Linked DNA regions of Cricetulus griseus. The protein of the gene in region 2 purifies or fractionates together with the protein of the main gene of each other region. This does not show direct contact. Links are inferred from orthologs where the notes say so. Each region holds a gene or a part of one and is shown on either strand. Other genes may lie near its edges. The genes, in order: Pdcd10, Fgfr1op2 and Strn.

Evidence for each region.
Region 1: the proteins of Fgfr1op2 (region 2) and Pdcd10 purify together in Homo sapiens (affinity purification with mass spectrometry; 3 studies listed by BioGRID and IntAct, counting the BioPlex papers as one, with this or other methods). This does not show direct contact. The link is inferred for Cricetulus griseus from reciprocal best matches to the Homo sapiens genes FGFR1OP2 and PDCD10.
Region 3: the proteins of Fgfr1op2 (region 2) and Strn purify together in Homo sapiens (affinity purification with mass spectrometry; 4 studies listed by BioGRID and IntAct, with this or other methods). This does not show direct contact. The link is inferred for Cricetulus griseus from reciprocal best matches to the Homo sapiens genes FGFR1OP2 and STRN.

Annotation. Positions count from the first base shown.
Region 1 is NW_023276806.1:78,249,356-78,260,173, reverse strand, and holds the start of Pdcd10 (programmed cell death protein 10), read right to left. Parts: upstream 6,592-10,818; 5' UTR 6,440-6,591; intron 1-6,439. UniProt on the Homo sapiens protein: Promotes cell proliferation. Modulates apoptotic pathways. Increases mitogen-activated protein kinase activity and STK26 activity. Important for cell migration, and for normal structure and assembly of the Golgi complex.
Region 2 is NC_048601.1:3,102,579-3,113,296, reverse strand, and holds part of Fgfr1op2 (FGFR1 oncogene partner 2), read left to right. Parts: intron 1-2,627; exon of another isoform or gene 2,628-2,646; intron 2,647-5,417; 5' UTR 5,418-5,419; coding exon 5,420-5,554; intron 5,555-7,804; coding exon 7,805-7,922; intron 7,923-9,164; coding exon 9,165-9,307; intron 9,308-10,718. UniProt on the Homo sapiens protein: May be involved in wound healing pathway.
Region 3 is NC_048600.1:5,368,435-5,379,152, reverse strand, and holds part of Strn (striatin), read right to left. Parts: intron 9,694-10,718; coding exon 9,518-9,693; intron 7,549-9,517; coding exon 7,501-7,548; intron 6,139-7,500; coding exon 6,017-6,138; intron 4,840-6,016; coding exon 4,672-4,839; intron 2,623-4,671; coding exon 2,482-2,622; intron 1,478-2,481; coding exon 1,370-1,477; intron 311-1,369; coding exon 224-310; intron 134-223; coding exon 1-133. UniProt on the Homo sapiens protein: Calmodulin-binding scaffolding protein which is the center of the striatin-interacting phosphatase and kinase (STRIPAK) complexes.

The DNA.
Region 1 (10,818 bases), on a different chromosome or scaffold from region 2:
TGTAAGAGCACCTACAGTGGGGTAGGACCTCAAAATCTCAATACTATCAAAATGTCAATTTTAACATGTATAAAAGCATCCCTCAATGCATGTGTATTTCTGAATAAAAAGGTCACAGTATTATTCAAAATCTTTTGGAATTAAATTAAGAAAGCCTTGCAATAAAGTGCCAGAGAGCCACTGCTGCCTAGAGGCCAGGTCTGACTCATTTAACATTTCCAAGTACCTTTTGTTGTACAACCTTACATAAGAAGGCAGCAAGGGTAAAAACATTTTAGGGTTTTATCATTCCTTCAATCCAATCACAGCTGGATTCCAAGTCATCCTGAATCAAAGCAGGATGGCTGAGTAAGACAGAAAAAGGCATTTCAGCACAAAGAGCCAAATGGCAAGTTAGAGAAACTAGGTTTTGTCCCTCCACATCAACTATGGCTCCTAATTATCAAACAAACAGATGCATATCAAGTGCTGTATATTAAAATGTCAAAGATAAGATCTTCACATCTCCTTTCCTCTCTATCTTCTCAAGTTTAAACTCCTAGAAAATGTACCCATTTTTCAATTTCCTAGTACCTGTCAAAGAACTCTGCCTGGTCTATGTCAGCAACAGTGCTAGCTGAAGGTATAGAAGATGAAGTCAGTCTGACCCCTTGAAAATGAAGAGAGTGCAGTGAACAGTCAGTGAAGAAATAGTGACAGAAAGGAGCACTGCTGCATCTAGTAAGCCATGCCTACGCTAGGAAGGCAGTGGTAGGAATTCTCTAAGTACACAAGCCCCAGACTGAGATAAGAAAATGGACTACCATTCCCCTGATAAACTCAGAGAACCTCTGTGTGAGCAGCTCCCAGACCTGACTTTTAGTAAGGAATTATGATATGTAATACCAGGTTATATATATTTTCCAACAGCATCTGAGTAGGAAATGACATACTTAACCTACCAATCTAAAGCAAAGTAATATATTTCACTGATAGAAAAAAAAAGGGGTCTGTTAGTCTCTGCTGTATGGACTAAATTCCTAGTAGATTTTTAAGTGTAAACCTGCTCATTAAATAACAACTGTGTGCATCTAAGGGACAATTTCTCTGTCACTGCAACTCTAATGCTACAAGTAGGCCTTTAACCATGAACACCATTTTACTGAAATGATCAAAAACCTGGTATCTCTATATGAATTCTGTGATCTTAGGCAAGTGACTTATTTCTGTACATTTTATTTTCCTTGTTCACAAATTGTAAATAATAGAGCTCTTACTTCCTCTGGCAGTTGTAAAAATTGTAGGTGGGCATTCCAATGTAGATAATTTCACACATAAAACATACCCAACAAATATGTAGGTGAATGAACCAAGGGATTATTACTATGAAATTCAGACTTACCTATGGTAAACTTGTTCCCAAGGGACATTCTAACTGAGGAAAAGGGAAGTTTTTTTAGTGCTTACCGAATACTGCAGTGTGACCCAATGATAAGAATTCTTTGTGTCGCCCCCCCCCCATCCCTAAAGCAACACCAGATTCTAAGTTACTACAAAGTAGATTAAATAGGTTCAAATCTCTTTGGCATAGTTTTAAAAAAATGGAATCTCATACTCCAAATGTAAATGTGTCCTTGAAAAATAATACTATTAATGTGATGGCCAGCCAAGTTGTGTTGTGTATCTTAAATGAAATTCTTATGTTTATATAAAATTAACTATGAAATTAATCAAATTTCAGCAAATAAATTACCTCTAATTGCCTCAACGGAAACGCTTTCATTTTTGTTACTTTTGAATGTGTATAAATATTTTATTAATAAAGTATAAAAATCACACCATCTTCTACATGTTTCAGAGGAAAAATTCACATATATGGCTTAAAATTCTTAGTAACAATACCTACTGTAATAACCCTAACATTCTAACAACATATAAATAATAGCTTAGCTTAATTTCCTGCAAACTGCGTAAGTGAAATAAAGTTTTTATTGATGATTCAAATAACATTCAGACTAACTTTTTAAAAGTACCAGGTTTAGAATTTAGTACAGACACATTCAGTAATAAACCTTAGTACATTATCAAAATTTAAGGCAGCCACTTTTGATACTACTCTTTTGGTAAATGTGAATGAATAAAAGGCTAAGTAATTCAGAGCTGTTGAATGTACTTTATTGCAATAGTGTGGTAATATGAAAAATTATACAATTTGTTTTCCAGACAAAAATCTAGCCTACTATATCCTTAAAATTTCGTTTGTAAAATTTTAAAAACACCTTTAGTCTTGTGTCATATTCAAAGCTAGTAATATATTATCTTAAACCCCTCAACTATAACTTTTAAGGAGGGTAAAATATAAGTTCCTCTGAAATTAGAAAGTTGGTTTCCCAAAAACATCTTTTCTCAAGAAGCTTGTATTAAATCCTGGTTATAACCAAAACCAAACAAAACCTAGGAAGCACAGAAACAGGTCTAGCCTCAAATCTTGGCTCCAGTCCTTCTAAGACTTCAGCAATTTAATTGCATTCTAGGTTGAATGTGTAAACTTACTTCTATCTTTGGTGTCCTGGGAGCTAGGCAAGTGAAATAACTGTTTTGAAGAGAAAAGAAAAGAAAGATAAAGGAGAGAATAGTGTCCATTAAAAGTTTTTTTCCATGTCTATATTTTGTTATAATGAATCTTGCTTGTTTTAAAAATACAAGGCAGTGGCAAGTTTTCTAAAATGCTGAGCTACACAGAAATTTTGCCGTTAAAAAAAAAAAAGAAACCAACTCCTTTATGTTTCCACAATGAAATTACTTACCTAAACTTGAGAGATCTCCAAGAAAAAGTACTTTTATATACTTTACATTAAACTTCTGGCATTAACTTCTTTATATTTTTCCTAAATTCATTTGAAAATTCCTGTATCTTCATTCATTTGTATATTTCTATCCCTAGCACAATACTGGAGGTACTATGCTTGAACATACAATTACTGAATACTCTCTGCTAAATAGTCTAAGAGGTAGGCTAAGTTCTAACAAATGAGAATCCCTTGTCCAGATAACCTTTAGTAAGATGACCAAATATTAAATCAGTATAGAAATAGTAAGTTCCTACTGTGACAATGCCAATAGAGTTCAGAATACAGGGAAGACAGAGCAGCAACCTATCCTGGTTTGCAGAAGGAGGATTCAGAGTAAGCCAGGCTTTGCAGGAATCAACCACACTGGGAAAGGGAAGATGAAATAGGACAGGTGGAGAGGTCGGATTTGTAAAACGGTCCCCAGATCAGAAAGTATCTTGTATTAGCAAAGTAATAGTTGAGGATAAGATTGGAGCCATTTGGGACAGAAATAGAAGACAAACTGGTGGCATTAAACAGAGTAAGAGGGTCATGATATCTAAACATCTGTAATGGTCTGTCTTTTTCTTACATAAAACAATCACAGTTTTGAGCAGAATACCTATTGTCAAAAGACCTGGATGTGTTATAGATCGTATGACATTGGGCAAGTCATTAAACCAACCCAAGCCTTTTCTACTCTCTGGAGCCACTCAATTATTCTTCAGCTGAGGCTATAAAGATAACTAATACACCGCTCTTGTTCTTATAGACTACCCTTTAAGAGAGAGATGACTATATAAGGAAGAATTCCAAAGGCCTACGAAGAATAATATCTGAAAGTTGATGCAAAGCTACTTTAGAGAACAAATGTGGGCACCAAGAGCTGAACACTACAGGTAAAACAAACCACTGTGAATTCTAGCTAGCGACTGAAGGATTTTAAATACAGCAATAACATCATTCATTTCAGCACTACAATTGTAGTGATCAAACACTACAGGTAAAATGGACCTCAGAGACACAGATACATTTAGAGTAGACAAGAACTAATTTTTTCCTTTTGATTAAAAAATTCTCTCCAGGAGGCTATCTTAAATGCTCTAACCCCTATAATGAGATTGATGGCTACCTTACATGCCATTATAGAGCCTTCATCCAGTAGCTGATGGAAGCAGAAGCAGACACCACAGCTAAACACTGAGCCGAATTCCTGGAATCCAAGTTGCAGAGAGGGAAGAGGGATGAGCAAAGGGGTCAAGACCAGGCTGGAGAAACCCACAGAAACAGCTAACCTGAACAAGGGGGAGCTCATGGAGCCCAGACTGATAGCTGAGAAACCAGCATAGAATGGAACCAGTCCCCCTGAATAGTTAGGAGGCCTGGGCAGTCTATGGGACCTCTGGTAATGGAACAGCATTTATCCCTAATGGACCATTAGGTCCCAATAGGCCATTGGGAGCCCATTCCCCATAGAGGGATACTCTCTCAGCCTAGACACACAGGGGAGGGCCTAGGCTCTGCCCAAAATGATGTGACAGACTTTCATGATCCCCATGGAAGGATTCACCCTTTCTATGGAGCAGAAAAGGGATGGGATGGGGGTCGGTGGGGGGCATGGGAGAATGGAAGGGAGAGGGAACTGGGATTGATATATAAAATAAGATTGTTTCTAATTTAAATTTTAAAAAGTTAAAAAAGAAAGTCTTTCCAGAACCACAAAGTTATGTTAAAACTCATTTCATACCTTTCCCACAAACAGCAAATGTCCACAGTCATCTAGAAAATATATTGGCATCCTTGCTTTACAAGTTTAGACTTATATATGGCCCACTCAAACTAAGGCACCATTTTAATCTACTTCAAAATCAACCCCACATAATTTTCCTTTTGTTTAGTTGCTTCTTCCTTATTGTGTATTATATGTATGCAGCGTGTTACATTCCTGATTTCTGTCTCATTCTATAATACCATACCTCTCCATTTATTTTAAAGGTCAGAGTAAAACAAGTCCATATTAAGTTGAACCATAGAGGAACAAAGATTCTTCTGACCCCAGAAAAGTTTTGCATTAAAAAAATCAAATAAATTGTTAGTATTAATCATGGCAAGCAAAACATTCAAAATATTGTGTATTTATTTACAGTATATATGTATTTAATATTTTAATTTACATAATATGATGCCTACTAACTATAAATATGCATGTTTATGAGTATAATCTTATAAAGGAACCTTGTCTTCAATAAAAAAGTACAATTCTATCAACAACCTATCTAGTAATATCTATCAGCTATAATTAGTCAACTTGTTTGAAACAAGTGCATTGCTTTTTACTCAATATACAGGCATCCTTTTTTTTCCCGTTCTTTAACATTAAGAATGAATTAAAAGTCACAGATGATGCCAAGAAAAAGAAAATGCACAAGTCCTGGTTTTTACTACTTACACATGGAGTGAAGAAAATGAGAACCAAAAACCTCAGACAGAAAAAAAAGCCATTTCAGGTAACGACCATGTTATAACTTCTCCATGATTCTGCATTTAATTATCACTCAATGAAAACATTAAAATGTGTAAAATAAGTTTTGTCAAAGTTTCATCCGTACTTTAATCTTAGTTTCAGAAATCAGGAAAGGACTATTCTCTTAATGGCAACGCTGAGCTTATTGCTAAATATTACCTATCTTTTTGGCTCATGGAAGTTGTGTTATCATTTAGTATGTTTCGGAAAAAGGGTAAATATCTAAGCTAAAAAAAAAAAAAACAAAAAACAAAAAAAAAAAACAACCCTTCCCTTTTTAACAAACCGTTAAAGAAGATTGCTTTGGGAAGGATTTCACTCCACCCCAAGCAACCAACTCTTCACCTCCCAAACGTTTCTGAGACGCACACTCAACTTTGCAACTTCTTTTATCCGCTTCGAGCACCTACCAAGCAACTCCCCACTTTTCTATCTAAGCAGACAACTCTGGTCAGAACCTGGACTTTCAGCGGACTGGATTCAGAAGATCTGTGTGACCTTGGACACGTCATTTACTCCTTTAGTTTTCTCAGAAGCATCCCAAAGCGAAAGCGCTTTTGAGTACAGTTCAGGAGTAAAGCCATCTGACGTATGAGAGTTAAAAGGGACAAACACTTCTAGTTAAGAGTTACCTCCTTAGAGAGGCCACATCAGGAAACTGGAACTGAGTCGGAACTGTCAACACCGGCTCTCCTCTTTCCTCAAAGGGCATAACCCCAGTCACTCCGGGAGCCGACTCCCGGGCTCCCACGCTCTCTCCAGGCCTTACACAGCTCCAGCCTCACCTGCCGGGGACCCCACCCCAGCACATCCGCCCCCTCTGTCGGCGGGGACTCGGGAGGCCGACCTCACCCTTCCCCTCCGCTCGCACCCACAGCGGACTTCCTGGAGGTGCCGGGCCGCGCCGGGTAAGCGGCATTTCCAAACCGGCTTTACGCACCTCGCGTAGAGACCTCGCTGACGCCCAGAGGGCCCCGCTCCCCGCCCGTCCGCCCTCCGGCCAGAGCCCAGCCCCAGCGTCTCCGCCTCGGCCCCCGCCTGACCCCAAGCCGCGCTCGCTGCCCGGCGGAGCCGTGAGGACCCGAACCGAGAAAGCTCGCCTTACCAGCAACTGAGGCACGGACTTCACTTCCCACCTTTGGAGCCCTCTTCAACTCCCGGATCAATTCACTCCGGCGACGCCGGAAGGACCCGAGAGGAACCAGGCGTTGTCCGGAATCCTGCCCAGCCGGAGTCGCGCAAGGCCCGATGGGGATTCGTAGTTCCGCCCGCCAGTTCCGTCAGCACTTCCTGCAGACCTAGGACCACATTTCCCAGAAGGACCCGCAAGAACGCCTAGGGCGATAGGTGGGGACACTTGTAGCGAATAAGAAAAGAGTTCCCTGCCTTCACGGGAGGAAGGGAGACGGAGAGGGAGAGCGCCCAGAAACGGAGGAAGGGCGGGGCCGGCTCTCACCTGCACCAATCAGAAGGCAAGGCCGGCCCTCAGACGCCGTGCCCACTGATGGGCGGGGCTCGCAGATGAGTGGAAGGAAAGGGGCGGGGGACCAGAGGTGGCAGGGGACGGGCAGCTGGGTTGGGTGCCTGGGTAGGCTGCGAGGAAGCCTCTGGGGACTGTGGGGGGTGGAGGAGGGAGGGTGAGGCGTGGGCTTCGCTTGGGCTGAAGCGTCAGTACTCCCTAGGACAGCCCACTCTGGTGTACACTGGGCCGGCTCACTGAGGGGGCTAAACCTGACCTGAGAAGCTCCAGGTGCGACTCAGGGTGGGTGGGTGCGGTGGGGGGAAGGGGGGGGTGGACAGAGAACCAGGAGCCGAGACACTTGCTTCAGTAAGGCTTCGCGCCGCCTGCAGCTCGGGTTGCGCAAACGGCAGAGGGAGGAGCCGGAGCCCGAGGTCCGGCCAACTAGAGGAGGGGAAGGCGGAGCTTGAGTCTCAGTAGAAGCCTAGGCTCTGCTTGCTCTGTAGTTTCCCCGGAGAGAGGCAGGAGCAGGATCCTGAGCGATCACAGCCCGCCGAGCATCCTCTCCAGCATCCCGAGCCCGGGAGTGCAGGTGTGCGGGAGGTAAGCGTGGGTGCCCCTTGCCGGCGCCAGCACACCGCCGGGGGAAGAACGGCATCTGACAATAGGAACGCCAGGGCAGAGCTGAAAGAGTGTTATGTTGGCTTAAGATAGCATTGCAACCCCTTTCAGGGGAACGATGTGCAATTTTGGACTATAGTTGGGAGAAAAAGGCAAAAGGTAATTCCTTCTGATGTATAAGGGCGCGGTTAGTGATTTTGTTTTGAGTTGCACCATTAAAACTGGTCTGGGAGATCCCAAGATTGAAGAAAGCCCTGTTAATTGAGAACCAGGTGGACAGTGTCTAGATAGGTGCGTAGCTGATAAAAAAGCAAAAATGGCATTGATATAGAATCACTTCGGAACTATTTCGCTAGGAAAACAACTTTGTTCTCTTCAGTGCCTGCCGCTTGTGTTGGTTTATCAGATTGTTCTGCTTCGGACCTGTTATCCAGGGCGATTATGTATTGCAGGTTCCTGGGATTGCAAAAAATCTGGATTAAACAAGCAAATAATAAGATAGGATGGGTTTGGGCTGAACCTATCATAAGTATAACTTTTACCGCAATAATGAGAGAATAAATTTGAATAGTGGTTAATTTAGCGTTCCTTCCCGGCTGGCGCTGGAATATTGAAACAAAGACCTGGATTCAGCCTACAACAGAAACATATGGTGTACTTCATCGCTGCTCCTTATTCTCTCATTTGTGTCCGGTAAGGTTTGTTCGTCTTTTTAAAACAGGAGTACAAGGGAAGCTGTGTGGAAGAGCTTTCCTCTGTTGAAGAGAGTAGCTGTAAAATGATAACCTTTAGTATGTTGCAATGGGTTCCGATTATATATACATATATATATATATATGTATATGCATGTATATATAGTATAAAATGATAGTTCATTCTCATCATGTGTATACTTTTAAATGTAAGTTTAATAAATATGGGTGGAATTATGTTGTAATACTTGGTGAAGATAGTAGTCACCCCTACCTCTGTGTAACTAGGACAGATTACAGCCTTTTCGTTTTGAAAAAGTAGTAACAGTATATCAGCTTAGTTCATTTTGTTGTTGTTACATAGTACCCCAGATTATACTCCTATTAATCATAATAGCATATTGCAGCATATCTCCTCTGGAATGCCTTTATTTTGACAGTTGACTATCCCATGGGATGTCAGAATACTTTTATGTTTTTAAAAGAATGGTCAATAAGATCCAGTAACTACCTTTTATTTTTTTCTGTTGTCTTGCTATTCTGATTTACTTTAGGATTTTGTATTTTGTTTTTGTAATGCATACAAAATGCCTTTTTAAAATGAAGTGGCCCAAAGATATTCTTTCCATGGCTTCAGGTTCAGTCCTAGTGATTTCTGGTACTGATGAGAAATCTACATCCCTAAGTTAATTAAATCCTTCCCTCCTACATTCTCACATGCCAAAGAACTGTGTACCAGACAAATCTGAAAAAATAAAAATAAAACAAACAAAATTATCTAGGCTTAGAGTGAATGGATCATGGAGGTATGAGAAGAAGCAAAGAGCTTGTAAGACAGAAAAAGCAACAGAAGCCACTAAACTTAAGCAGCCACATTCAGGATGTATATTGTTTTTGGTATACTACTGGAGACCTGTTCATTGGTGTAGCCATCTAACCGGTGTGATCTCCAAACCATGATTTGGGGAGAGAAAAATGTGATCTGGTGGTTTAGTAACACTTGGAAAGGATGGTACTTGCCCTTGTTATTTGTGATGTAGGTGCATAGTCCTGAGTCAGAGTCTGCGATGCTATGGCTCCACGGCTGGTTCATTTGGAAATTGAATACCTGTTGTCTCTAGGTTATTCCCTGCACATAATGGAGCGAGTTACATGACTGATAATGAAGTTCTTCAGAACCTTTTTTGAAGGACCTTCAGATAGAATTTTTGATGAAAATCAGTCAGTAACCAAGAAAATGGTTAGAAGATAATTGGCAGGAAAACAGCTGAAATGAAGATGCATTTTGAGTCTCTCCTAGCTATATACATCTTAGGTCTGAGATACCATAACTACAATCTCATAGATTGTAATTTTAAAGTGTAATCTTTCCCTGTTTTCAAGATTGGATTCTTTTAAGAATTCAATGAATGAGGCAAGGTTCTTGTGTCATTTTGGGATTAAGTAGGACATATTTCTACATAAGAGCAAGTCATTATTAGCATATCATGCTTGGACAATTATTTTTAACCTTGAACTCTTCATCCAATTTAATTGATGTTCACATTCTATTTCAAATAACCAAAACTGTTTTCTTGGTTAGTGTTGGGAAAGGCCATTCACTTTATGTAAATATCAACTATGATTAAAAAGCAGATTATTTATCCTGCTCATCTGACTTTTTGTTGTTTATGTGTATGGTATGATGAAAAATAAAGACAGCAGAGTGCAGACTGCCTCTCCTGTATGGAAACTACTTGGAGATGACTGTCCTTTATCCAGAGGACTTGGTTAATTTCAAATAGCATTATTTTTCTGACCTCTCTTTAAATTTAAATAAAATTCTGACTGTAAGCCTACTGAAAACTGAACCAACTGGAATAAATTTCTAATAAGAGGTTTGGTGACTGTCTTCGACATCAGAAAAAATACAGGTTCAAGATCAAATGGTTTTGGTGTGAATGGGACACAGAAAAATAGATATTTAAAGAAAAATAATGCTTGAGAAGTATACCCTTGGCAGGAGAGAAAAAGATGCTTGATGGGTTTTGTTAAATTAATGTAAGAGAATATGACCTTTCCTTTCTCAACCACCTATTTCTACAAACCTACATCCATAAGGTAGGCATTACTTTTTTACCCTTGTGAGTCACCAAGTCACTAATACATTAAATTTTAAACAATTGTAGGTTGTAAAGGCAAAACAAATACATCATGCTATTATTTGGACAAATTTTTTAAAAGAAATGAAAACTAAAGTGATGTTTATTCCCTTAACAGAGTTATTTAAACAGTCAATATAAACAAGGACCAATTATTTTATTTTTACAAAATTTCCTAAGGCTAAATACTGGTTTGGAGATCTGGATCAATTGTTTATTCAGATAAGAATTTGTTTTCCTTTTTTTAGTTATACAGCTAATATTTTCCACATTTCATCCTTAAAATTTGGGTAATTGTATTTTTTAATTTATAGGATGTATAAATAATCGTTTTCATACATGTAAAGCACTATATTTTTATTGTCATTGTCAGTACTGGGAATTGAAGCTAGGCCCTTAGGCATGATAGGTAAGCACTCCGCCACTGAACTATTAACTCATTAAATTTAGAATTTGAAATCTTAGGCTTTCATTGTTTTTGCTTGATAGGATGTTACTAAATTACTTGGGCTACTCTTGAAATTTTGATCCTGCTACCTTAACTTCTTCAGGAGATGTGGGTCTTAGAAAC
Region 2 (10,718 bases):
AAGATGCATAACAGAATGTGAAGAACAGTATATCTCCCACGTTACTTACTAGCCAGAAAGGGAGAGAAAGAGCCTTTCAGAAAGGAAGTCAAAGCAAACTCATATTATAAAATAGTTTTAAGTCTTTTGAGGTTTTGCAAACAGGAAATGAGTATACAGATTTACAGAAGCTGTGTCACCGTTTATCTGAAATGTTAATAAAATTGGGTGTTGAGTTGTCTGCATAATTTTTTGTGTGTAGATGGGTTTTTATGCTTCTAAAATATGAAAATGTAGTTTACTTTCTTAGTCTCTATGCAGCCTAGAGAACACTTTTAAAGTAATTCTCTCTCAAGGCCCACCATATCCATTGCTTAATTTTAATATATACTTAAAATGATTGCTGGATTTGTATAGTTATGTGAAAAAATATTCAAAATTTTGGTTTTTTTTTTATTGTTCTTCCTATGCATCTTCCTTGGCTGACTTGAAATGAAAAGTTTTAAACCTTTTAGGAGCTGCACTTGTGGAGTTGGGGAATTTGTTCTCCCCACCTCAGGATGCTAAGACAGTGTTTGCATAACATGAAGCAAACAGGGCCCTCTGGTTCAGCCTGGCTGTGGAGGTCCGGTCTCGGCCAAACCTGGCTGTCACTCAGCTCCTGCATTTGGAGTCCTTGAGGACTTGTCCCATTGTCTAGATGGCAAGATAAGGTGGTGTTCTTAGGTCCATAGAGCTGCCACTTTGAATTAAACCTGACAACCCGAGTCTGAGGTCTGAGCCCCACCCATAAGGTGGGGGCGGGGAGCCTATTCTAAGTTGTGTTACCTAGCAATTTGAGTTAGGGTTGTGATGGACATCATCATCGTTTCCTTTAAATTTCTTTAATGACAGTAAACATCTTTTAGGGCAAGTATTAAAAGTCTTTGGGCCGGGGCTGGCAAGATGGCTCAGAGGTTAAGAGCACTGTCTGTTCTACCAGAGGTCCTGAGTTCAATTCCCAGCAACCACATGGTGGCTTACAACCATCTGTAATGAGATCTGGTGCCCTTTTCTGTCATGTAGGCATAACACTGTAAACATAATAAATCTGATTTAAAAAAAATCTTTCGGCCATTTTTAAAATTAGACTTATTCTTGCTATGAGTGATTCATCAGAAGTACAACTTGGAACATGCTTCCTCGAGGTCTAGCTTGTTTCCCACACTGTCTTGGCTGTCTGATAGTCCTCCCCCACCCCCATCTGGATGAAACCTGGTTTATCAGCAGTTTTTTATGTTTCATGCTTTTGGTATCATGCCTAAAAAACTTTGACCATCTCCAGATTACAGAGATTTTCTTTGCTCTTTTTTCCCCCTTATAATAATAGCATTTTTCATTTTGTATTAAAATTTGTGCTCCATTTGGGAAAAGCTTTCTATAAACCATAGAGCTTTATATAAACCAAGTAAGAACTGTGTTGGGATTACTTTCTGGCATATAGGTGTTGAGTTCCATTTGTTGAAAAAATGCTGACCTTAGCAAAAAAGAAAAAAAAAATGTACACAGATGTGCAGGCACTCTTGATGACCAGAAGAGGGCTTCAGATTGAAGCTCAGGTTAGTGACACTTGTGAATGCCTGACGAGGGTCTTGGTGTCTGAAGTGCCATCCTTATAGCTGAGCAGCCAGCACTGTTAGCCACTGGGCCGGTCTTTCTAGTGCCTGACATTCTTTGACCTTTGCACCTTGCTACTTTGTCTTTTGACTCTGTGTAGCCCAAGCTGGCCTTGAACTCACCCCACCACACTCAGCTCCCTTTGCACATTTTCAGAAATAAATTGGTTACCTTCCTGTGGGCCTATTTCTGGGTCTCTGTTCTGTCTCAGTGTATCACAGCCATCTTGTTGCTATGCTTTATGTAAAGCAAGTCTTATATCGTACACTTTGTTATCTTTGCAAGAGAGTTCCAGTGGTTCTAGTTTCCTTGCTTTCTGTAGGAATTAATTATAAAATCAGCTTGTCAGCTTCTAGCTGCATTAGACTGGAAATCTCTTGGCTTTGTTATATTGTGTCTATAAAGCCTTGAGCACAGTATTTTCTCCACACACTTAGATACTATGTTTTCTGTTGACGTGTAGTTCCCAGCATATAGATCCTGTATATATTTGATTATGCCCGAGAATTTCATTTATCTATTATGTCTATTATAATGTATATGTAATTATAAATGTAGCTATTTTAAATAGTTCTAGGACTATTATTAGACGCTCATTTCTTCTTGTGACTTTTTGGCATTGGTGGGTTTTGAGGAGTTAATCCATGTAATATACATTATGTAATTTTTGTATATGTAATTCTGTTTCCAAGTTGTCATTGCTAGCTTATGGAAGAACAGTTGGTCTCTTGGATCCTTTGGGCTTGTACTTGTATCTTATGGACATGCTAAAATCATGGATTGTAGGAACTTTATGTTTTACATTTTTAGTCTTTGAAATTTCATAGACTGTATTTTGATTTTATTCACCCCCAGCTCCTCCCAGATCTCCCCACCTCCTGCCCACCCACGTTTGTGTTCTATGTGCAGCTCACTTGACTCCTGTCTCCTTTTAAAACACACAGAGAGAAATTGTTTTTCTTCTTTGGGATTTTCAATGCAGCAACATGGACTACAAACTACAGTTTTCTTGTATGTATCCCAGTTGACATTTTCCCCCCTGTCCTTATTGCTCTGGTAATTCAACAAGATTGGTATTTGGAGCATCCTTACCTTGTTATAATTTTAGTGAGGAAAGTATTTAGTCTTTTACTAAATTCATGAGAAATTTTGCTCTATGGTTTATTTTGTTTTTCTCATTCCTTTTATAGGGTAATGTTAAGATCTTTTAAATGCTGAATTGCTTTATGAATCTAAAAGTTTTTGGTTTTTTTCTTCTCTTTCCTCTTATTCTTATTTATGTGTTTGTTTATTTGAGATAGGGTCTCTCTTTGTAGACCAGACTGGCCTGAAGCTCACGAGATCCATCTGCCTCTGCTCTGGCGTGCTGAGATTACAGGTGTGGACCACCATGCCCTGCCCCCCATATAAGTGTTCTAATCTCCTTAAAGAGACTGTATATCCCTGTTTGTCTTTGTTTTCTGAGATAGGGCCTCTATTGACCGGCCTGACCCCTGGACCAGACACTGATTTTACCTGTCTCGTGTTCTGTTTTGTTTAACGTGTGTGTGTGTGTGTGTGTGTGTGTGTGTGCCCCAGGTGCATGCCTAGTGCCCATGGGTTCACAAAATGGTGTCATGTGCCCTGGGACTAGAGGTGGGGATGGTTGTGAGCCACCCACGGTGCTCACGATACAGGAGCAGCAGTGAGTGCTGAGCCCTGTCTCCGGCTCTGGTGTATTTTAAGACTTGCCACTGAAGCTCTCTCGGTCTGGAGCCTTTTGTGCAGAATATTTTTAACTCCAGTTTCTTTACTATTTAAACTTGTTAGAAAATAGCTGTAGAAATGTGGTTATGTAACTCCAGTGGCTATAATAGTTACAGGTCTATTGCTGGTTATTCATTTCTTCTTGTAGGACTTTATGTCATTTGTGTGTTTTGAAGAACTAATCTTAGTTAGGTTTCTGATGCTGTGAAGAGACATAAGCACGGCAATGCTTATAAAGGAAGCGTTTAATTGGAGTGGCTCACTTGCAGCTTCAAAGGTTCAGTCCATTATCGTCATGTCAGGGAGCATGACAGCAGACGTGGTGTTGGAGCTGACAGTCCTTAGATTTTGACTCAGAGGCACAGGAAGTTGACTGATTGTCACACTGAGAGGAACTTGAGCAAGAGACCTCAAAGCCCGCCCCACAGTGACACACTCCTCCAACAAGGCCACACCTCCTAATGTGCCTCTACCTTTGGGGGCCATTTTCTTTGAAACCACCACAGATGTGTTTAATCTAAATTATCTAATTCATGTATATGAGATGTTAGAGTGAAGTATGGCTCTGCAGTGGTTTCTCTTGGTCTTTAAGGGCGTGGGAGTTGAGACAGATTGTGTGACCCAGGGTGGACTCCTTCTTTTGATGCCCTGCCGCAGCACAGACTCTTGGGTACTGGGATTGCAATTATGGGCCATCACCACTGGCTCTTCATTTGTTCTCTCTCCTTGGTTATTCAGTCTCTCTTGGTATCTGTCTCTACCCCCCATAAACACTCACACACCCTCTTTGCTTTAAAGAACGGACCTTTAGTTTTACTGTGTTTACTTTCTTTGCTTCTATTTACTTGGGGTTTATTCTGCTCTTTTCCTACTTTCTCTAGGTTAGGACTTGGACAATTGATTTCAGATCTTAGATTCTAACACAAACAAGATTTCTCTTTAGTTCTTTTTCAGGGTCTTCGCTGTGTGCTCCATAATTCTAACATCACTCAACTTTGTATTTTCTTAGATCCATTGGGCTGTTTGCTCTTAGTTTTTATGTACATGTGTGTGTCTGTCTGTGTGGGTGTGCACACATGCATTGGAGTGTCTGCCTACCAGCTGTGAACTAAACTACAGTCCTCTGCAAGAACAGCAAACTTAACCACTAAACCGTCTCGCAGTCCCAAACTGAGCTTTTTAAATTTTTATTTGTTTATTATTTGAGACAGGGTCTCACTGTGTAGTCTGGCTGCCCTGTAACTCACTGTGTAGACCAGGCAGGCCTTGAACTCACAGAGATCCACCCAGCTTTTCTGAATTCTATATCTGGCATTTCTTCCCCCCCACCCCCCTGTTACAGGGAGGGACCCTTGTTTTTTCAGTTTTCTGTTATGCTTTGGAGATCAGCACAGCCTGTCAGTCGGCCTCCACTGAGACCACGGTTGGGTGTCAGGTTATGCTTCTCAACAGCTGTGCTCTCGGGGATGCTGGAACTCTTGTTCGCCCCATCTTGCAGTGGGGAGGCTTGCCCTCTGTCCTGTGGCACCATGCAGCAGATGCCCAGTTGTTGTGTCAATGCTGCTGCACTGCTGCCCCAGCCTGGGCTCCTCAAGGCTCCCTCTCTCTTGCTGCTGTTAAGCATTGCCCTTGACGACTCCTGCAGAATGCAGCTGAGCACCTCCTGCTTCTCTTCCACATTCAGCCACCTCAGCATCCCCTTCAGTGCCTCTTTCAAGCCCATTGAAAGTTGCCTGTAGTGGCCAATAATATTCTTTGTGGAAACTGCAGGAATTGAGATGATGGTGCCACTTTACATAAGACGCCATAGCTCATCCCGGAGGAGGCTCAGACTTGGACAGAGCAGGGAGAATTCTTACAGTCAGATTTGCATTTAAGCCCATAGTATCCCAACAGCCAGAACACGATATTTGTAAATGCCTTTCTCTCTAAATCATGGACAATGTTAGGGGAAGCTTAAGAAGGGCATCTGTGATAATGTGGAGCTAAGGTGACTTTAAGCCCTGGTCTTAACTTATTTACTGTTACTCCTTTAGAAATGAGCTGCACGATTGAGAAGGCACTTGCTGACGCCAAAGCCCTTGTGGAGAGGCTGAGGGACCATGATGATGCAGCAGAGTCTCTCATCGAGCAGACCACGGCCCTCAGCAAGCGAGTGGAAGCGATGAAGCAGGTTTGACTCTTCTTGCTGGCTTCACCGACATTTGAGTAAACTTAAGTCATGAATGTCTTAGTCAGTGTTCCATCGCTGTGAAGAGACACCCTGACCACGGCAGCTCTTATAAAAGAAAGCATTTAGTTGGGGCTGGCTTACAGTTTTCATCACGGCTGAGAGCATGTCAACACAGAGCTAGAGAAGTAACTGAGAGTTCTACATTCAGATCCACTGGCAACAGGAAGAAAGAGGCTTTGGGCTGGGAATGAAACCGCAAAGCCCACGCCCAGTGACACATTTCCCCCAATAAAGCCACACCTCCTAATCCTCTCAAATAATGTCACTTCCTGGTGACCAAGTGTTCAAATCTGTGAGCATCCCAACAGCCAGAACACGATATTTGTAAATGCCTTTCTCTAAATAATGGACAATCTTAGGGGAAGCTTAAGAAGGGCATCTGATGATGTGGAGCGGATGGGAGCCATTCTCATTCAAACCACAGTAAACAATCAGATAATTTCTAATTGCAGTCTTCACATAGCATCACTTGTGTGTTTGCTTCACTGTGGACTAGGGTATATTAATCGTGTTCACTAACAAGTACATAGGTTTATTTTAAAATCTATGAATTTCATCCCTCTTCTGACAGAATTGCATATTTGAGTTAAATAAGTGAAACTGTTAAATCTAAATACATTTGATAAGGATCAGACAACACGTTTCACTAGTACTGGCACACATTAGATATTTGCTGTATTATATAATGTTGAGATGTTTATACTTTCCTTTATAAAAGTACTTGGGTGTTACTTTGTTTTTTGTTTGTTTGTTTGGTTGGTTTTGGTTTTTTGAGACAGTTTCTTTGTAGCTTTGGAGGCTGTCCTGGAACTCTCTGTAGACCAAGCTGGCCTTGAACTCACAGAGATCCGCCTGCCTCTGCTTCTTGAGTGCTGTTCAAAGGCGTGCACCACCAACGCCCAGCAACCAAATAAGTTTTTTTAAATGATGTAAAGAAGTATCTAATTTTCATCCTGTGCGGTTATTTCAAGTTCTTTTTTTTGCTAGCATGTTTTAAATTTGTCATTTACAATAGGAATTAAGTAGGTTTTACTTCTTGCTACTGGCATGTAGAGGAAACTCCCAGTAGATGATTGAGTTCAGCTACTGTATAAGCTGTCCCCCCAGAAAGACTTCCAACTCTTAAGGAAGCAGCCCTAGGCAGGCAGTGGTGGCAGACAACTTTATTCCCAGCACTTGGGAGGCAGACACAAGTCCGAGTTCAAGGCCAACATAGGCTACACAGAGAAACCCTGTCTCAAGAGGGTAGGGGGAGAACCTGAACTAAGGCTCCTTAAAAGTTACCAGAAATACTGGAGCAAGTCCACTTACTCTGTTTTATACCTGCATCTCCCTAAAGTGGTCTGCTCCTTGACCATCCGTCCAGATGACAGTAAGCATAAACCTGGTAGTGATGTGTTTTACAATCGGACTTTGACACCTGCAGTTAAGAACCAGGAGTGTTACTGTAAATATATTCCCAGCTATCCAGTAAGAATGCCTCCAGAAAAAAGAATAATTCTAAAATTAAGATTCCTGCTTTTTTTAAAAAAAATTCAAAATCCAGCCAGCTGTTGTGGTGCACACCTTTAATCCCAGCACTTGGTAGGCAGAAGTAGGTGGATCTCTGTGAGTTTGAGGCCAGCCTGGTCTACATATTGAGTTACAGAACAGCCAGAGCTACATAATAGACTTTATCTCAAACCTACCCCCACCGCCCCTTGCAGTGCTAGGGATGGAACCTGGGGCCTTGCTCATGCTAAGCAAATTCTATGCCGGTCAGGTCAGTGTGTTTCTGGCTTCCCACCCTCTCTACTCCCACTGACCTCTCTCCCAGTGGATTTGCCTGTTCGAGACCTGTAGACACTTTGTGTGCGTAGGACATGAGCTGTGTGGCTTTTGTGATTGGCCTATTGACATGTTTTAAATTTCATCTGGTTTCTCGTATGTGTCAGTCTTTAGGGGATACAGCATGTCTTGTTTCTTCTCTCTTGGGTCAGGGTGTGGGTACTCTAATTCCTCTTTTTTTCCTATTATGAGTATTGGTACTACGGATGTTTTCTTTTCCCTAAGGAAGGAATGTTGGGTCATGTAATGCCTCTGTTTCACTCTTAAAGGGTCTGTTCATTTATATCCATATAGCAGGTAAAAATTTGCAAATATTGACTTCCTATGTGTTCTTTTTTTTTTTTTTTTTAATCTTCTCATTAGTATCAGGAAGAAATCCAAGAACTCAATGAAGTGGCAAGACACCGGCCGAGGTCCACGCTAGTTATGGGAATCCAGCAAGAAAACAGACAGATCAGAGAATTGCAACAGGAGAACAAAGGCAAGATAGATTGTCGTGAAAAAGACCTTTAGTCTTCCATTGTGGTACTAGTTTGGGACTAATAAGTATATTCACAAATCGGAGAGGGGCTGGAGAGATGGCTCAGTGGTTAAGAGCACTGTTGCAGAGGATCCAGGTTCAGTACCCAGCACCCACGTCAGGCAGTCCTGGCTGCCCATCATTCCTTCTCCAGAGGATCTGACACCCCCTTCTGGGGCGCAGGCATGTATGTGGTGCACAGACAATGTAGGTACTCACACATGCACGTGAAATCAAATAGAATCCTCTTTTAAGTGGGGAAATAGTGAGCTGAAGTCCTCCTTTCTATTTAATCTCCTTCTTTGGTCTGTGTGACGAGGAGGCGCTCTCTCTGTGCTCTGCCCTGCTTATCCTCTTCTCAGCTGCTTCTCACATCTGGTTTACACCATTTTGTTACCTGTGAAGAACTGAACTCCACTCCCTGCCGTGTCCCAGTGTGGCTGCTCATATGCTCTGCTGTACCTGGAGACTTTCACTGTCAGCTTTCTCTCCATCCTTCAACACAAGCCCAAGTCCAAACTCCCCAGAATAAATGTGGCCATGATGCCCTTGCTTAAAATCTTCTGTTTTGATTTTATTTCCTTGTCAGTTGCTGGTCTCTCTTCTGCCCACTTCACACAGCTCTCCTCCACACTGTTTGTTTTGCCTTTCTACCTCAGTCTCCTAACATAGCCTTCACTTTCATGCTCCTTGCTGAAGATTCTCGTTCCTTTAGCTAGCGTTCACCATAAGAGCTCAAGTTCATTGCAGTGTGATAATTCTGTGGAACTTTCCCCAGTCCAGCCTCATAGCTCTGAAATGATTTTTAAGAAACAGTTTTAAATGAACACTTTAAAAAGCTAATGAGAGATGTCTCCAAGGATTAAGGGCACTTGCCACCAAGCCTGTCAGCCTGTGTTCCATCCTTGGAACCCGATGGAACCCCTGGAGGAAGACAAAAGTCAATTGCAAATTGTCCTCTGACCTCTGCATGTGCCATGGCGTGTGTGTGTACACACAACACACACATACACACACATACCCACACACATATACACACATGCACACACACACAGCATAAACCTTTATTTCAATAAAAAGTGGTGAGGGGCTTCTTTGCTGCACGGTCTCTTTTAAGATGTCATGTATGTCAGTGTTTTGGTAAATATGATTTGGGAGAGTATAATCTTAGCTCATTTCAATAAAGCACATTGTTCTCGATAGAACTGCGAACATCCTTGGAAGAGCACCAGTCTGCCTTGGAACTGATAATGAGCAAGTACCGAGAGCAGATGTTCAGATTGCTAATGGCCAGCAAAAAAGACGACCCAGGTATAATAATGAAGTTAAAAGAGCAACACTCAAAGGTAATCAATCCAGTCTACGAATTTGACTTGAAATGAAAATTGGGGCCATTGGTTAATCGATGTTTAGAGTTTAAACAATGAAAAAAAAATCTAAAATTGGTGTGATATGATATATAATTACATCCCCTTCTCCCCCCCCCCTTTTTTTTTTTGACAGGGTTTCCCTGTGTAGCCCTGGCTGCTGTCCTGGAACTCAACTCTGTAGACCAGGCTAGCCTTGAACTCTTGATCTTTCTGCCTCTGCCTCCTGAGTGCTGGAACTAAAGGCATGTGTCACCATAGCCAGAAATACCTCACATTTTTAATTGACATTTTCTTTCATCGTCACCACCCTGCCCCCTATTTCTTGTTACATATTGTATTCTCCTTGGCTTATTCTTGTAACTCACATTACTCCTTATTAACAGGGTCTCACTGTGTAGCTCTGGCTATCCAGGAACTCACTGTGTAGACCAGGCTAGCCTCAAATTCAGAGATCCATCTGTGTCTGCCTCCCTATTGGTGTCCTTAGTAACTTTAAAATGGTGTGTCTGTGTGTGTGGTGTCTGTATATGTGCAGTAATAAACTATTGTAAAAATAAAGGTGTGTTTAGTTTAAAATTACTCTGTGAGATTCTCTGCTTTTAAGTAGAATTTTCCAGTGAATCTGTAGTGCTACCTGTAACACAAGCAGAAAATGGAAACTTTAAAAGTCTGTGCACTGCTGAGTGCCGATTGTTTCCCTGAAGAGTCCAGTCTTCATGAGAAGCCATGGGGTTGGGGATCCTTCATGTAGATGACATCATTTGAGAAGCAAAGCCGAAGTAGTTAGAGCACTTTTGCAGTTGCTTGAATTGCGGCCATTTGGGGGCAGTTGTCAAGACAAGCAAAATAGTTGTTGCTGTTTACATTAAACTGAATTTTAACTGCCAGTGGAAAATGAAAATATTAAACTAGATTGGATGACTGGCTTTGGATAATGGTGAAATAAACTACTTACAACTAATACTATTTAAGAAATAGTGGTAGTTATAAGATACATATATTTCTCAGTTATATTTTGGAATCTTTAAAATATTTCTTCCACATTGGCGTTTATATCTAATTATCCTGTCAGAATTAGATAACTAGTAGTATTCTTTGGGTGACAGTTATACATATTACGGACTGTAATAGCAACCTCATGTTGATTACTAAGAGAATAAAGGAGTAAAGTTGGGTTTAGTGTTACCTATTTATAATAATCATGCCCTAACAAAATGGAAACCCTTGGGTATTTAACTGGTCTTTTGAACATAAAGTCTATGGTTAATGTTAGTATTGGTTACAGAGTAGCTACTTCAGTGTATATCAAGCCATGTACAGTGACACATACCTCTTTAATCCCAATACCTGAGAGGTAAAGGGAGGAAGGTCGGGGTTCTAGGCCAGC
Region 3 (10,718 bases), on a different chromosome or scaffold from region 2:
CTGGCTATATAGCATTTGGAAGGGTGGAATGCTACATCATGGATGGATTCTTCAAATTTTTTCCGATGAGCTGTGAACTCTTGAATACATGTCTTACTTTCTAAATTCCATAAGCGTATCGAACAGTCATGACCTATTCCAAAAGAAAAGAGATTGAAAGGAACAATTTTATCAACATGATGATGACAAGGGAAAGTAAATAATCCACAGCTAATGTACTTACTGCCAGACATCAAGTACAGGCCATTTGGATCAACTGCTAAACTTGTAACAGCTTCTAGGTGGGCTACCATCGAGTGGATCAGTTTGCCTTTGGAAAAAGAGATTGTTATACTTGTTATTGACGGTTTTCTTCAGCTTGGCCATATGCCAACTTTCATGCTACCTTAGTTTCCCCAGTCATCCCTGTCTATGTACTTCTTGAATCAACTTTTTCCATCAGTTCAAACAACCAATCTTCTACTCTTGCCTCTGGTTACGTTAATAATAGAAAATTAAAACAGCTTAAATTTCAGATATTTGTTTTTTAAGCCACAATAAATTCAGTGACTTTTACATGTTCACTAATTGGTTAGACATTACTAGTCTTCTTGTGTCCTTTTAGTTACAGACAAACTTTATGGGCTCATGAGGACAGACAGTTCAAATTCAAAGAGACAAAGGACAAAAGAAAAAAAAAATGGTCAGTTTTGGTGGAAACAATACACAGAAAATAATTTTAAAAATGAAACTGCTAGCAACTAAACACAACCACAAGTGACCATATTAAAACGGCAGATAGCCAAAGAATCATGGCTGCTCATACAAAGCTCTTCCCTGCAGTTTGCTATTTGTGTACTTCCACTGACAACCGGGAAAGCCTCATGCCCCAGTTCAGTCAGGACTCAAATTTTAGTATAACACAGAAAAGATTAACCTATGGAAAAACACACAAAACAAATGACCTAAGGATTTTCATATGCAACACTGAATCAAGCTATTTACGACTGAACAACAGAATACAGCTATTCAATAACTGAACAATTTAAAACAAAACATAGTTACCAACCTCTGCTTCCAACATGTTTCTATTAATACTCACTCCTTATGATTGCAACAGATCATTTTTATTAGTACTCAGATTTGTGGCTTTAGACTATCTGCTTACTATTAAACAAAATAAAAAAAAACCCATTCCATATTAGTCTTAGCCGATATGAATGAAATGAACAGAAACTGAGTGAAGAAAGTGTTTCAGTGCCTACTCTGTAACTACAAAGCTCCCATTAGACACCATAATTAGCTTACTTAGGTGTTTATTGCTGTTTTAGTTTCTTGTTGCTGTTGTTGGTTTTGCTTCATCAGATGCAAAACCTTAGCAAGCTCTTACCTGTATTGTTATCATAGAACTTGATGTGCCTGTCTTCGTGAGCAGTGATGCTGATTGGAAGAGTGGGATGGCTGATGACTCTGTTTATTTGGCAGGAAGAATTGGCTGCTAAAAACAGAAAATTAAAAATCAGTACTAATTAGTCAAAGTAGTTTTTTTCATATAAAGGAGATATAAATACTAAAACAGAAAAAAAAAAAAAAAAACCAATGAAACCCTAGTCTGGCTGTGGTGCAGTTATTCTCCAATTATTTCTCCAACCTCAGTGCTGTAAAATAAGAGCTGCCTAAGGTACATCACACTGGCATATTTATAGGTAATTAAATGTCAGAGTTCCTTTCCACCACCTGCTATGCATGAATTCCATCTAAGACTTGGCCTAGAGACACGGATGACATCCAAGTCTACACGTTTTGTGATGTTTGCTACCTTAAAGAATTCTATCAGCAGGGCATTGGTGGTGCACACCTTTAGTACCAGCACTTGGGAGGCAGAGGCAGGTGGATCTCTATGAGTTCGAGAGCAGCCTGCCTCATCTTCATTGTGAGTTTCAGGCCAGCCAGAGATTCAGTGAGATCCTTTCCCAAAACAAAACCAAACACCACCAATATACAAATAATCTTCAAAGTTAAACCTCAGTCCCTTCTAACATGCAGCTCTGTTCAGGTAGCTGTGATCTAAATATATCATGAAATCAAGGGCTTTGCCTCCTTACTTGTTCCTCTTTGCATCATAATAGAAAAGACCATCATCTTGCAACCCACCAGATTTTGAGTTTTTAAGCATACTAATTAATTGTTGTACACTATCTAAGAATTTTTGAAGATATTAATTACTATAGTAATTTATAGTTATTTCAATATACAACAGAAAATGCCAGGTGGCCACATGGAATAAATTCTTTGGGTGCAGTTTTTCTGTTGTTTGTTTTGATTGCTTTAGACTGTGCTGAAGTTTACCCCTTCCCCCCCAAAAAAGTTTTCTATAAAGTAAAAGTGTCTTTAGGTTTGGGCAATAGAACACTATGATTTAATCATTCTTCACATCGACTTGGGCAGTTACACTTTTGATTAAGAACAAATAGAGAGACTTTTAAAGATTGGTATACATACTTGAGTCTATCTTGGATTCTAAAGTGAGGATTCGCTGCTGTGTCTCCATGTTAAAGATGCTTGTATACCCTTTGCTGAATGATGCTACCATATGGCTCGGGTCACTGCTCACGAGATCCACCGAAGCAGGGATTCCCAGTTCTAAGTGTCAGAAATATTCAGAGAGGATGACAGTTAAAAGGTCTACTTGAGAAAGTACTCAAAATGCAGCAAAACAAAACTAAGCATGATTTACTTTAATCAATCAGGCTTAACATCAGAATAAGTTATTTTAGAACTGTTCACAGAAGAGTATTTCTTTTCTAACTTTTAGCCTTAGTCTATTTTATTATCCTTACCTGTTAAATGTTTTCTACCCATTATTCTGCTAATCCACTCAAAGAATGCAAACTTATTTTGAAAGAAAATAAAACACATGGACCATAAGTTTTATAGCTTCCACTTCCATTTCAAGCATAGAGTAACACAGTGGAAATTCAGTATTTTAAAAATCCATCTTGAAGAAAAGAAAACAACAATAACAAATCCAAACTTAGGTTGGAGTGCAGCTCAGTGGTACTGTGCTTGCTAGCACAGAGTTATGTCTTCAAAGTCTAAGTGCACATTGTGACTTTGCTGAAGAATAAAGTTGTTCTGGGCCTGGAATGTAACTCAATGGTGGAATATTTGTCTAGCATGCAAATCACCACACAAACACGAAAAGTTATCATCAGGGGACAAACTTGGAACTCATTTATACCAAAAACAGAATGATAAAGCCAGTGTGGTAGCATACTCCTTAAATCCAAGCACTTGGAAGTGGAAGCCCAAGGATTGTGAATTTGAGGTCTGCCTGGGCAATGAATTCAAGGTGAACCAGAGCTACATAGTGAGGCACTGTCACAAGAAAACAAACAAACAGAATGATAAATATAAAAATAAAATAATGTTTCATTTGGGTCAACACCTAACCAAAGCAAGGTAATGATTCAAAACTGTACAGCAGAAGTTCTAGGAATAGTCAATGAAAAGCAAGAAATGGTACTCAACCAAATATGCTGTCAAAGAATTAAACACTGAAACAGAAGGGAACCAGAGTGACAACATCAAGACTGAGTGAGGATGCAGAGCAAACTGACCTCACACAGGCTGCAGCCCAGGTTATAAAGTGCCATGAGCACTCTGGGAACAATGTGGTCATTTCACTTAACAACAAAACACCCACCCTAAAACCCAACAAGTCTACTGAAAGGTCTCTACTACCCATGATGAAAATTTATGAACCTTCATAATAAATTATTCCTAATAGGCCCACACTGGAACAACAGTAAATACTACCAGATAAATGAATAGGTCGTGGAAATTATGACTTTTTATAACAATTTTGCTCATAACAGCCTCGGTGTCTATCAGGAGATACATGAATAGACAGACCATAGCTTAATACAATACTCTCACATAATAAAGGGAAATCAACTGACACTGAACTGCACAAACGTTACAGTAGAATAAAAGCCAGGCACAGAGATAACATCCTAAACTGCTATTTTATTATAGGTGAGAATAGACAAAACTAATCTATGATGAAAGTGATCTTGACAACAGGTGCCGCTAGCTGGGATATGTAACAGGGACTGACTAAGGTCACAAAGCAGCCCAGGGAAGGGAAGAGATGGTCCCACTCCAGACTGATACCAGCGCCAGGACTGCACCAGTTCACCTCACGCATCAGAACACATCCTTGATGCCCTCAATCTTCAAGGAAAATAAATTACGTCTCACTTTTTAAAATGTAAACCCCATCTTCTCATCAAATGCTGAGTTTTTTTATTATTTCAATTGTGTGTGTATGTTTGTGTGGTATGTGCACATGAATGAAGGTCACTGAGGTCAGAGGTGTGAGACACCCTGGAGCTGGGGTTAAGGCAGCTGTGAGCCACCTGATGTGGGCATTGGGAACTGAACTCAGGTCCTCAGGAAGAATAGTATGTGCTCCTGACCACTGAGCCATCTCTCCAGCCCCTCAAATGCTGTTTTTAAGAATTATACATACACTGAAATGTTAAGCAACAATGTTGGTGCGTTAAAAAAAAAAAAAAAAAGCCTTAAAATTTATACACTCAAGAGTTTATAGAATCATTTATTTGCTTGCTTTTTCAGAGTAGAATGTTTAATAAAAGATCTGGAAGTGTTTAACTTTAAAGACTATACCTTGGTTATCATTAAACACACTCAGTGCCGGAGCAACCTCGGTTGTATTCCATAAACGTAAAGTGCCATCTGCTGAGCAGGACAACAAGCGCTGGTGTGCCGCGCTGTAGGCCAGCCCCCACACAGCATCTGTGTGGCCCAGCAGAGGGCCTCTCAGAACAGAAGGATCTGTGGAAAACGAGCACATGCAAAACCAGAAAGAAAAATTGTCAAGGCATTTAGGATCCACTGTAAAACATAAGACAGAGCACCCAGACACAGTGTAACGCAGTCTTCTAGTTTCAGTATCTTCTGAAATGCTGCCGTAATTACAAGCAGTTTTGGAAATACAGATCTTGAACATTCTAAATTAGAATTAAGAACCACAAGTCTGATTTCTTAAGAAAGCTTTATTTTAACGTTTATTAAATAAATGTAAGGAGAGATTTTTGTTTGCTGACTCTGTGTTTAGTTTGGTAGTAACATTACAATGCTTTAGTGGCAAACATGACATATTAAACCATTCTGTATTAACTTCAAACTTAAAGCAGCCCATTTCTAAATAGTTTTACAAGGGAATTTATAGCAACATCTAGAAACACAGTATAATATGAATTCATGCCATAACACTGCTCTTAAAACCAAAGCATCTGTGTGCATGCGTGTGTGTGTGTGTGTGTGTGTGGTGTGTGTGTTGTGTGTGTGTGTGTGTGTGTGTGTGTGTGTTGAGGGTGGAGGGAGGACAGACAGACAGCCTGGATTTATTCTAAAACTCAGACTGGTCTGAGACTCATTAAATAGACCGGGCCAGTTTAAATTTACAGCAATTCTCCTGCTTCTCCCTGGCAAGTTTAGGGATTACAGGCTTATACCACTAAACCTAGCTGAGAGGCCAATCCTTAACTGTTTTTAGGACCCTTTATAATAAATATTTTGGAGGCATACTTTAAAATTAATTAGCTTCTCCCATTTCCCTCCAATAACTGAGCAAAGAAATGATGTCACCATTCATTTACCTTCAAAGTTGTTTGTCGAAAACAATAATGAAATATGACTGCAGATGAGTTGCAAAGTTTGAAGTACCAGACAGATGTCTAACATCAAGAAAGCAAGCGTCAACCAAACCAGCATTTCTGTCTAATAAGACTACAGAGATGAACTCTCTTCCCAAGGACATCATGTTTTTACCTTTAGCATTAAGTATCCTGCTGATTCCTGTTATGTACAGGAATCCTTCTGAATGACATAAAGATACACTTCTCTTTACTGGTCTCTTAAATACCAGTAAATAATTTTACCCTTAATGTATACTAGGAAAATAATGTAAGAAGACAACATCTTTTCAGAACTTCAGTGAAGCACATACCATAAGAATCATAGGGATCGATGTTGGGATTGGTGGTGTTCCAGCCCTGAATCAGCCCATCTGTACCACCACTGTAACACTGCTCACCATTGCTGCTCATCACTACACACAGCACCGGACCTCTGGGACATCAAATAGATCAATAGGTGTCAAGTAATCTGCTATTCTCAAATGTCAGTTCTACAATGTAACTTGTTAAGACTTAGAACCTCTAATTACTCAACTGCCTTTCTACTTACTAGCTTTTAACAATGATTAAAAACATTAATGAGTCAGGTGTTGGTGGCACATGCCTTTAATCTCAGCACTCGGGAGGCAGAGGCAAGAGGATCTCTGTGAGTTCAAGGCCAGCCTAGTTCCAGGATAGGCTCCAAAGCTACACAGAGAAACCCTGTCTTGGGAAAGAAAGAAAGAAAGAAAGAAAGAAAGAAAGAAAGAAAGAAAGAAAGAAAGAAAGAAAGAAAGAAAGAAAGAAAGAAACCAAAAAACAAAACAACAACAAAAAACCACATTAATGAAGTACTACTACTCATTTTCTTTCTTTGCCAAACCAAAGGCTGGTAAATTATGGCCTTGAAGCCAAATTCATCTAGTAGTTCAGGCTATGAATGCTTTCTACATTTTTAAAGGTTAAAATAGCGGCACACACAGCAACAACAAAACCAAGAATATGTTACATGAATTAAGACCCTTAGTTCAATCCATAACAAAAGCCAAAAGAGGACAAAAAAGTTCACCAAGAGTATATGGTCTCCTAAGCCTGAAAAATATTTACTTTCTCACCCATTACATAAAAAGCATTTCAATGTCTGTAACAAATTGAGAGAAAACATGTCTCTTATACATAAGTGGAAAAAAGAAAATATGTAATTACTATAAACAATTCTTGGTTAAAAATGCAAGTTAAGTGGCATGTGTGTGAGCATACAATACTCAGGAGGAAATCCAGGGCCTCATATACAAGGGACAAACCTTCTACCTTTAAGCTACATCCCCACACTTTGAATACTTTTTATGTAGGTTATGTTTAAGGAAGAAACTATGTGAGAATCCTATTAAAAATTATTTTAATGTTTTATTTGTACATGTGGTTGTATGTCACCTCTGCACAGGTGCTCACAGAAGCCAGAAGAGTGGTGTTGGATCACAGGAGTTACAAGATGTTGGGAACCACTCCACATGGCTGCTAGGAACTGAACTCCAGTTTTCTGGAGGAGCAGCAAGTACCCAGTGCTAGCATTGCTAGTACTTAAACCTAAATACCTTGACTTCCATTTATAATACATATGCATACCAGGAACTCAACCTGGTATTTATATTACCTGCCAGGTTCTTTTACATTTACAAAAAAAAAAAAAAAAAAAAGCCCCACCACTACTAAATAGAAAAATTATATTAAAATATGTAAGGGAAAGAATGTATAATATCAATCAAACTGTGTTAAAAAGATGCTGGTTTAATATAAAGAAAAACCACATACTTACTTATGAGCTCGGAACGTATAGATAGGCTCCACATCAAGAGACGTACTCCTAAACCAGAGAAAGAAGATGACTTTAAGCATGCCAAATTTCAGCAGTGAACAGCATAACTAAGTTGTATGTGGTCCGTGGTCTCCATGGTAATAACATCTTCAGCCTCAGGATACAGAGGCTCATTTAATCCCAATTATATCTTCAAAATATGGGCAAACTCCCACTTTAGCAGTGGTACCTTGTTAAACAGACTCCTTACAATTGATCCACTAAAGTTACAAAGACTCCTCACACTGCTACAATTCCTCCACTAATACCACACAGACTCCTCACACTGTTATAATTCCTCCACTAATATCACACAGTGTGCTACAATTCCTCCATTAATGTTACACAGACTCCTCACACTGTTACAATTCATCTACTAATGTTACACATACTTCGCACACTGTTACAATTCCTCCACTAATATCACACAGAACTCCTCACACTGTTATAATTCCTCCACTAATGTTACAGACTCTTCACACTGTTAGAATTTGTCCAATAATGGGAGAGAACATCATTCATGAGAGAAAACAAGGACCGTGAAGGGTAATTTTCAGAACATGATTTCCAGTTATATCACTTATTAACTAATGCAGGGAAGTTTTTATTATTTCAGAACTTCAAATTATCCTATATTTAAAATAAAATGAAATCTAGATAGTACCAAATATTCAACATGAATGAGAATCTAAATATAATAAAAAAGTTAAGACCAGAACTATACACAGCAGGATTTCAGCAAGCGGTACTTTAACTTCCCTGTGTTTTCATGAAGGCTAATATATCTATCCTTGATTCTGTGGAAACTGCCCAAGCCATCAATTCATTACTAAAATCAGGACTCTGCGTGTCTGTTACCTAACAGACAAGGATTCATCACAGACACTGGCTGAAGGCAAGAACTCACCACTTTCTACATCATGTTGCAGGAATTTGTAGATACACATTATCATTTCTCAAGTCAGCTCAAAGATAACTAGGGTACTATTATGTGCATGTGTAGATATTTTGCTAATTTGTTTCTGCTATTTCCTCAATTGGACATTTACATTTAGCTCCATGTGACTGAGCTGGAACCAGAACTAGCACACTGTGACCTGAGAAATGGAAAGGCAAAGGTACAGCACATCAAAGGGAATACCCCCTCTGCTGACCTGATCTGAATTCTGCTCACACTGCATCCAGCACTTTGCCTGTCCTGTGTGACTCACGGCACTGATGCTACTGGTGCCTTTTAACTTGGGCAGCAGAAATCTCTTCTACAGGCAGGACAACGTCTGTGGTGCCCTGTATTACAGTCTGTTGTACTCTTCTTAGTTGTACTCTTATGCCTCACATAGTGAAATGATCCTGGCTGATGGAGGCTGGTTTGGATGAAGGGAATGGATTCATGGAGGGTGAGCTCTAGAAAGGCCTCATCAAATAGACCTACTCTAGCTTGGGAACTAAGGAAACAGTTTATAGGACAGCGTGCCTGCTGGCATTTATACACCAAACTAAGAACGAATAACTAATCAAAGAAAACAGTATCCCTCAGTTCAGACAAACTAGTTAGTATGAAAACTTGTCAGAGAAAAAGCTAAGGGCATAGAGAAGTTCCTAACCACTTCTTTCACCTTGTAAATCCAAACTTTGTAAATAATAGAGCAGAGGTTTGGTGAGTCTATGTGTTTCTACTTATATCTCTTTACATTAACAGGGATCTTCATTACAGGCAAGAAGTCCCACTTATAAATGAAACAGCCACTTAAAACCCTTATGCATAATATAAGGACTGTAATCACCAGTCACAAACCCCTGGGAACCATCAGATAAAAGCCCTTAGACTGTCTGGAGGACTCACCTATGACATGATAAAGAATAAAGGACCAGAGAGATACTTGGGAACTATAATAGAAAATTATCTTAAAATATGTCTTTCCCTGTTGATAAATAATTTAACTAAACCTTAAAAAGAGTAAAAGTAGAATATTCTCACTTTTTGGCTGGGGCTGTTTTCTGCAGATTCCACATTTTCAGTGTATGGTCCTCTGACGCTGTTATTAAAACGGGCTCGATGGGGTGGAAAGCAAGGGCACGGATGCCATCAAAGTGACTTCTTAACGTAAACTTGGGGTTCCACGTCTTCCTCAAAGCATCTTTATTATTTGCTATCTATTAAAGAAATAAAACATCAAGTTGCAATAGCTGATTTGCTAATAAACTATTACACTATACAATTCTCAAAACAATATTTTTTAAATTTTTTTGTTAATTTATTTTTTATATTCCAATCCCAGTCCCCCCTCTCCTCTCCTCCCCCTCCCCACACACTTCCCATCTGCTCCATGGAGAGGGTAAGGCCTCCCCTTAGGCAGTCTACTAAGTTTGTCCCATCATCTCATTGAGACAGGACCAAGGCACCTCTCCACCCCCACACCCCTGTGTCTAGGCTGGACAAGGTATCTCTCCATATAGAATGGGCTCCACTAAGTCAGTTTGTGCATTAGAGTTAGATCTTGGACCCACTGCCAGTAGCCTCATATGTTGTCCCAGTCACACTATTGTCACCTATATTAAGGAGTCTAGTTCAGTCTTATGCAGGTTCCCTATTTGTCAGTCATCTCTCACTAGCTTGCGTCAGCTGATTCTGTGGGTTTCCCCATCATGGTCTTGTCTCCTTTGTTCATATTATCGCTCCTCCCTCACGTCAATTAAAATAATATATTTTTAAAGCAAACAACAAAACTAATTAGCAAAATTAGCAACATGTGGCAGTTTTCATTGAAGAAATAAAAAATGTGGAATATGAGAACAGTTAACATAACTCAAGCTAAACTGTAGGTAAGTGATGATCCCAAATGAATCTCTACTATTGCCAGTTTCGACCCTGAATGTGCATGAAGGCTTGGTCACCAGCCTGTGGCACTCCCAGGAGGTGGAGTCTTTAGCAGATGCAGCCTAGACACGACAGTGACATCACTGAAAGGTCTCCCTTAGGAGAAGCAGAAGCCCAGGTCTCTCCTCTCCTGCTTTCCTGAACACCATGAAGCAAGTGACTTCTTCTGAATCTTGTACCTCACCGTGACTGGCCCTACCAACATGGACTGAAACACAAGCAAGCCTTCTTATCTAACAGGTTCTAAGCCTTCCTTCCTAACAGGTTACTTACAACCAACATGGACTGAAACACAAACAAG